Oryzias latipes: one gene and its partner. The protein of the gene in region 1 interacts with the protein of each later gene in a biochemical or structural test. Links are inferred from orthologs where the notes say so. Each region holds a gene or a part of one and is shown on either strand. Other genes may lie near its edges.

Region 1 (3,572 bases):
CCAAAGCCAACACGGTCGGAGGACGCAACAAGTTAAAGAAGATCTTTGACAAGACGCTCACCAGCATCCTGCCTCCCAAACCATACAAGTAAAGCCCTTTGTGATTCTAAAGCACCCTAAGCACCCAGCTGATACAGGTCACCCCCACAGTTGATACTATTCATTTACTTCAGTTCAGCCGCTGAATGTCTTCTGTTCTGTCAAATGCAGACATCACCCTCTGCCTCCTGTTAACAGAACTTCTCCTTGGTGCCTGTTCTTCCTGTTTCCATAGCGACGTTTGCGTGGGCCAATCACAGGATGACAGCATACTGGGGATGAAGCAGTCCAAGCAGATCCCACCCGCGCTGCCGGTCAGTGGAAACTTGTCGTCCTCAAACCCAGACCTCCTGCAGTCGCACCACCGCATCCTGGACTTCAACAACCAGCCTGGTGGGTTTCTCCTGCTGAAAGGAAGGAAGCGAGTGGTTGATCAGATAGAGCTGCATAGAGAAGGAATGCTGTGGAGGAGAAACAGAAAGGGTTTCCCTACACTGACCTGTCTTCCTCGTGTTCTGTGTTTCAGTACCGGTCCTTCTGAGTGAGTACTTTGGTGCTGTGTGCTCGCAGCTGTCTCATGCAGCCTGCAGGGTGGCGCTTTTGATCACAGGGGCAATGTTGGGAGGCCTTGGGGGTGTTTTTAATTAAAGTTTAAGCTTCGAGTTCAGCCCAAATCGCTGGTGTGGGGTGTTTTCTAATCCAACCATTCATGTGAACAGTGATCAAACATAGTTCAGCGTCTGTGCTGACGGGCCTGCTTTCCCTCTGCAGACATGTCAGACCAAGTGCTGCGGGTTTTCAAGGCAGACCAGCAGTCGCGGTACATCATGATCGGAAAGGACACCACGGCTAAGGAGGTGGTGGTCCAGGCCATCAGGGAGTTCGCTCTGACTGCAGCCCCGGAGGCGTACTCGCTGTGTGAGGTGTCTGTCACTCCGGAGGGGGTCATTAAGCAGCGCCGCTTACCTGACCAACTTTCAAAACTGGCTGACAGGATTCAGCTGAGCGGCAGGTAATCCCATCCGTGCCGGCACATCACTGCTCACAATCACTTCAGATTTTTAAAACCTGCTAGCTCTGCCAAACCTTAGCCACATGAAATGGATTCTGAAACACCCCAAACTTCTGTTGTACCCCCCCCTCCATCAGATACTACCTGAAAAGCAACATGGAGACGGAGACATTATGCTCGGACGAGGATGCCCAGGACCTCCTACGAGAAGGCCAGATCTCCCTGCTGCAGCTCAGCACTGTGGAAGTGGCCACGCAGCTCTCCATGCGAGCTTTTGAGTTGTTCTGCGCCATCGAGCCCACCGAGTACATCGATGACCTGTTCAAGCGGCGCTCAAAGACGGGTTCTGCCAGCCTGAAGCGCTTCGAGGAGGCCATCAACCACGAGACCTTCTGGGTGGCCTCAGAGGTGACGCGGGAGCCTAACCAGCTCAAGCGGATGAAGATCATCAAGCATTTCATCAAGATTGCCCTACACTGTCGAGAGTGTAAGAACTTCAGCTCCATGTTTGCCATCATCAGGTGAGTCTGGCGGCCTCACGCCTTTGTCTTCTGTTCTCTGCCAACGTTCCTGAACGTGAGAAGGACTGCTGTCTGTCCTCTCCCCACAGTGGCTTGAACTTAGCTCCAGTCTCCAGACTGAGGGGAACATGGGAGAAACTACCCAGCAAGTATGAGAAGCTGTTTGGGGACCTGCAGGACCTTTTTGACCCGTCTAGGAATATGGCCAAGTACCGCAACGTTCTGAACAACCAGAACCTCCAGCCACCAATCATCCCTCTGTTCCCAGTCATCAAGAAGGACCTGACCTTCCTGCATGAAGGTAGAAAACACAAAAACTGAGCTCGACGCAGGCTGACAGAGCGGCGTTCACAGCCGTGCTGTCTGTGTCTAGTTCCACTGATGGAAGCATGAGCATCAGCATGTCTGCCAGCATTCTGAAGAGGAGACGTTTGCAGAAGAGCAGCTTCTCTTTTCTATCTTCAGGGTGCTTCTTTCATGTCTTCACAAACAAACTACTATCTTTCCCAATCTTTAAAGTAAAAGTCACATTTTGGCTGAGGGAAATCAGGGTCCAGCTGAGTGGAGCTGCCTTTTCTCTCAGCCCCCCAGAGTGGACTTTCATGCTGTTGTCTGAGCTGTTGTCTGAGCTGCAGTTTGATGTTTGGAGCTGATAAGATTCACGTTTACCTCTCAATCCAACAGGCAACGACTCTAAAGTGGACGGCCTGGTGAACTTTGAGAAGCTGAGGATGATTGCTAAAGAAATCCGCCACGTGGGTCGGATGGCGTCTGTTAACATGGACCCGGCGCTTATGTTTCGGACCAGGTGAGGTCCTGGTTCCATGCGTTTAACGAGTGAGGTCAGCCAGTCCTGTCCCGTTTCTGCACCCCGCTCCTTCCCGAGCTCCAGACATGGAGACGCGCTCGGAGCTCCTGCAGGAGCGTCTTCTGTCCAGTGATGTCCGCTCCGTAGTGTCACTGTTCGATCCCCTTTCTGCTGATTTTCACGTGGTTCTTTGGTGAAATTGGTTCTCTTTGGTGATCTTGGTGGTCTTTTCTGTCCTAAGCTGTGTCTACTCTCTTTTCTTTCTGCTCATACACCCTTTGACCCCTCCCTCCCACGCTTCTTTGTCCATGGCACCCATCCTTTAGGAAGAAGAAATGGAGAAGTTTAGGGTAAGTTGGTGACACTTTGCACTGCTGCACAGCAGCCTGTCCTCCTAAGCATGTGCTCCCTCCGGCTCTCCTGACGCCTCCCTTTTGTGTACCAGTTTGGGTTGAACTGTCCCACTAACCTGCCTGTCACTAACCTGAACATGACGAATCAAAGCGGCATTTGCAGACCAGCAGCGTGCACACATGCGTCAGAGCATGCAGCCTCCTTCAGACCTTCACCTGTCCTCCGGCTTTGGTCGGCCTGTCAGAAAAACATTCTTTATTCCTGCTTTACATTCTTGTGGTCACGTGGAAGACGCTGCATACCAAACCTGTAATGGGAAGCACCGTGCAGCTACCTGGAAAGAACCCAAACATTTCTGTTCTGAACTTTCAGATCCTTTTTCACGTAGAACATTCATGTTTTACAGCCATTTTACTCATTATGGAGTCGATTACATCTGAGATTTACATAATATGTCTGAATGACATAATCATGAAAACAAGGGTATTTCTAGCTGAAGCTGTCCCCCCATCAGTCCTCTGATGATAGACTGAAACCACATGTTACTTAACTTCAAACTCTCATGACTGAGTCAGGCCACAGAAATGTAAACTGAGAGTACCACGCCCCCCTGCTCCTCTGCTATTGGATAAACTCTCCTCCCTCTGCTGCCTGGAATGTGTGGAATGAGTAGAAAAAACTTGCATGTCCCAGTCCCCCCCCCCCCCCCCCCCAGTGTTTATTGCAGTGCATTTATTAAGTACATGTCTGTCCTCTGCCGTCCATGTGCCCTCATCAGGTCTCTCAGTCAGGGTAGTGCCAACGCGGCTGTGCTGGATGTCAATCAAACGGGCGGCCA
Region 2 (3,572 bases), on another chromosome or scaffold:
CCTCCTAAATGTAAATGACATTTTAATTCAATCTAATGAAAATGGGGATTCTTTAATTACGGTAATGCTTCCTTATGTCCTGCTGACAAACCTTATTTTTCCCCCATCTCTGCATTCCTGTCTTTCCATCCTTGTTTCTTGTCCCGGCTTGGCTGAGTGCTCGTGCTTGCAGTGCACTCCATTGCTTTGCTAGCAGCCCATACAGAAGTGTTGCTCAGCAGTTCAGTGAAGGATTGTTTGGATATCAAACATCAAGCAGGCACCTCTGTAGGCTCACTGTATACACGTCTGTTTCCTGTCACGATTCTCAAATGCAGGAATGCAGAGAGAAAACTTTTCTAGAAATGTATTCTATGCTTTTTTTGTCTCAAAGACAGTAATCGCTTAACAAAAAAACAAGTGTTTTTTTAATCAACAAGACAATCCTAGATATAACTTCTGGAAGAGAAGAAGGTAATAAAGATGCGACTTTCTGAGCGTAAATTCATGTTTTTTTTCTACTGGAGGCCAACCACAAATAGATTTCTCCTGGCTGATATTTTATTGATGGCTGTTGTGCTGTAAAAGTTTCCATTAGGTAATTGTTTGTTTGTTGGAGGCCAGTGGCAAAAATGGAAACGTCTTGTGAACTGTGACAAACATTGATGCCTCGCTTCTTTTACCCCCCCTCCTCACATTTCCCAAGTAAACTAAACTGTTAAACACACAAAAATGTCACACACTGCACAATCACACACCATCATCTAATTCCACTGAGCAGCTGAAGCATGGAATACAGCTGAAATGTTGGAGAACATTCAGGAAGGAAAGCAATGTTATCCCGGCTGGGCGGGGCCGCCATGACTTCCTACGAGCCAGCATTCTCCCAAGATAGTTAGTCAGGAAACGGCAGACAGGATGAGACGCATCCCGACAACCCTCACTGCTCTGTGTTTGCAGATTGTAATAGGGAAGCCCTAAACTGGACTAAAGGTTTCCGTCCTGCTCCACCTTTTTATTTGTCCTGCTTCTTACTGTAAACGTGTTAATAAACAAAAGGAGAAGTGCTGTCTGTTTAAAGAGATCCAGTAACCACAGATCAGCACTCTGTCAGCTTTCTTTAGAAACGTCTCTATTAAAGACAAACCAAAGTTTTCTCAGCAGTTTCTGGTCATTTTTGATTAGTCAGCTGGTAATTTTACATTTTATAAGCCTTCTCTAACTGTCTGCCTTTTGTCACACCATTGGAGTTGATAGGATGGATAGAAAGCCCCTTTGCTGTCCTGGAGGAAGCATGTGGCAGATCAGTCTAAACTTGTTCAGTTTCCAGTTGCATGTAGCTACGTATGTCTTTTGGATGGCTGAAAGCTGTAAAAAAAAAAAAAAAGGTTTTCCATTTGTGTGGAATGTATGTGATTGAATGTCACGTCGACAGAATCTCATTCTAAGGTGAAAAGTTTGAACAGTGACTTGTTAGCTTTGATAAAAAGACAAGACTTGAAAGATTCTGTGCAGCAGTTTCACCTTCAAATCTTATGGAGGCCTCTTCATCACTTCATGTATTCAGCTTTCTGTCTGACATTTAAGAATGCCTAAACAAAATAGGAAAAGTTTGTGTTCTGTCCTTTGCACAGCTGGGTATGCCACTCCCTGTTTTTGTTCCATAATATTAAAATGATTGTGGAAATTTGTATTGTGATGAGTTGATTCGGGGTTAAAGCAGATATGGTTTTCTTTTTTTCTTCATTTTTGAATCCCTTATTGATCCTCATGCATACCTGGAATACATTATAATTGTTTTTATTCATTCTGTTTTTTCTTTTTTCTTCATTAGAATATTTTTTAAGACTTTAAAGTGTAAGACAGCTGAAAAAGGGAAACCTTTGACCCTCTGGGAAAATGGGTCTCCCTTGTGACACAGACCTGCCAGTTCTATTTTCTCTAAGTGCTAAAGAAGCTTTAGCAAAGTCTGCTCCCATCCAGGTTGGAGCGGGGCTTTTTTCTGCACTAGTCAGGGTTAAATGAAGATTAACATGGATGACGTTGTTGTGGGTGTTTAGTCAGTTATCGACTAGTAAAGTTTTATCATTAAATGGTAAACTACTTTCAGGATTTAAGTCGTCCCATAACATGTGGTCTTTTGCCTTGAACTGCAGTCACAGATGGATGTTTGGGCTGTTTTCATGCTTAGCATATGTTGGATGAGAGCCTGGACTAACACATGCAGAACAGAGTAACTATGAAAAACCCATAATGTCATAACAATCCGATGAAAGACTTGGGTTTACCTATGTTAGATTAATGCAATCCAAACAACCTTCAGTGAAGATGATGTAATGTGCTTGAAACACTCTCTGTTTGCTGAAACAGTTCAGTGCACCGATAGTTTTTAGGCTAACAAAGTAAAAAAAAAAAGATTAACATGCAGTCTTGCCTGTTTTCTACTGTTTTTTTTGTTGTTGCAGGTGCCGATGATCCTGGTAGGGAACAAGTGTGACTTAGAAGATGAGCGTGTGGTGGGGAAGGAGCAGGGCCAGAACCTGGCCAGACAGTGGAACAACTGTGCCTTTTTAGAGTCATCTGCTAAGTCAAAGATCAACGTCCTTGATGTGAGTCCACTTAAAAGCACGAACCTGGAGGTCCAAATCATTGAAAAGCAGGCAAATGCTTCAGGAGTTGTTGCAATCACCTTTTTTTTATTTTTTAATTAAAGTCCTTAAATCATGGATGGACTAAATTACAGATTCCCTTGCTTTTCCTCCCTCTATAGCCCCAAATATTTTGTTTTTATATCCCTGTTATTACTGTAGTAATGCTTTTGTCTACATTTTTACAAGTCAAAGGAAATGTAGGGATTGTTAGAATTTTCCCCCAGCCTAGAGTTTTTCTTCAGTGTAATTTTTCCACCATGCTTTCTAGATGAATTGGAATGCTTGAACATGTCCTTGTTTGTTTGACGCTCTAGATCTTCTATGACCTGGTAAGGCAGATAAATAGGAAAACGCCCGTGGAAAAAAAGAAGGCAAAAAAGAAATCCAACTGTGTCCTGCTTTAAACACCCCCCTCCAACCCCAGCAGCAGATCTGAGCCAGGTGAGTGCGGGCTTAGATTGTGTAACGGTTTATCAACAACACTCAAAAGAGCCCCCCCTGTAGAGATTAAAAGGGAACAGCAGAGTTTTTAAGGCAGCGTAACTTAGTCGATGATCTTATCTGAACCTGATTTATCCGATCTACAGATCCACACATTCAGGAACGCGTGAATTTAATAGACGGTTGCACTTCTATATCTAGTCTGCCAGTACATTTTCTTTTTTTATGACATGTTTAACACATTCTTAAAATGTGCACAGAGGCCAAGAAAGCCTTTTTTTTTTAGCCTTTTTAATTTTAAACACTCATGTGTTTTCTGCAATTATAATGTTTGAACCTCATCAAGTTCCAGCAGCTTCAAATATCTGAGGAAATCTTGGTCCATCCTTGCAGTTTCTCAGAAGTCAGAGGAGCTATAAATACTCTCTAACTAGACTTTTTTTCATTTCATTACTTCCCTAAAACAGTTCGTAGACATGCTAAAGGAGAACAGATCAGAAA

Evidence for each region.
Region 2: the proteins of rapgef2 (region 1) and ras-related protein Rap-1A form a complex in vitro, tested with the Homo sapiens proteins (2 studies listed by BioGRID and IntAct, with this or other methods). The link is inferred for Oryzias latipes from reciprocal best matches to the Homo sapiens genes RAPGEF2 and RAP1A.

What each region holds. Positions count from the first base shown.
Region 1 is NC_019868.2:1,036,233-1,039,804, reverse strand, and holds part of rapgef2 (rap guanine nucleotide exchange factor 2), read left to right. Parts: coding exon 1-88; intron 89-274; coding exon 275-432; intron 433-565; coding exon 566-580; intron 581-810; coding exon 811-1,051; intron 1,052-1,188; coding exon 1,189-1,572; intron 1,573-1,661; coding exon 1,662-1,873; intron 1,874-2,256; coding exon 2,257-2,380; intron 2,381-2,706; coding exon 2,707-2,730; intron 2,731-3,512; coding exon 3,513-3,572. UniProt on the Homo sapiens protein: Functions as a guanine nucleotide exchange factor (GEF), which activates Rap and Ras family of small GTPases by exchanging bound GDP for free GTP in a cAMP-dependent manner.
Region 2 is NC_019863.2:11,459,436-11,463,007, forward strand, and holds part of ras-related protein Rap-1A, read left to right. Parts: intron 1-2,444; coding exon 2,445-2,588; intron 2,589-2,944; coding exon 2,945-3,034; 3' UTR 3,035-3,071; intron 3,072-3,572. UniProt on the Homo sapiens protein: Counteracts the mitogenic function of Ras, at least partly because it can interact with Ras GAPs and RAF in a competitive manner. Together with ITGB1BP1, regulates KRIT1 localization to microtubules and membranes.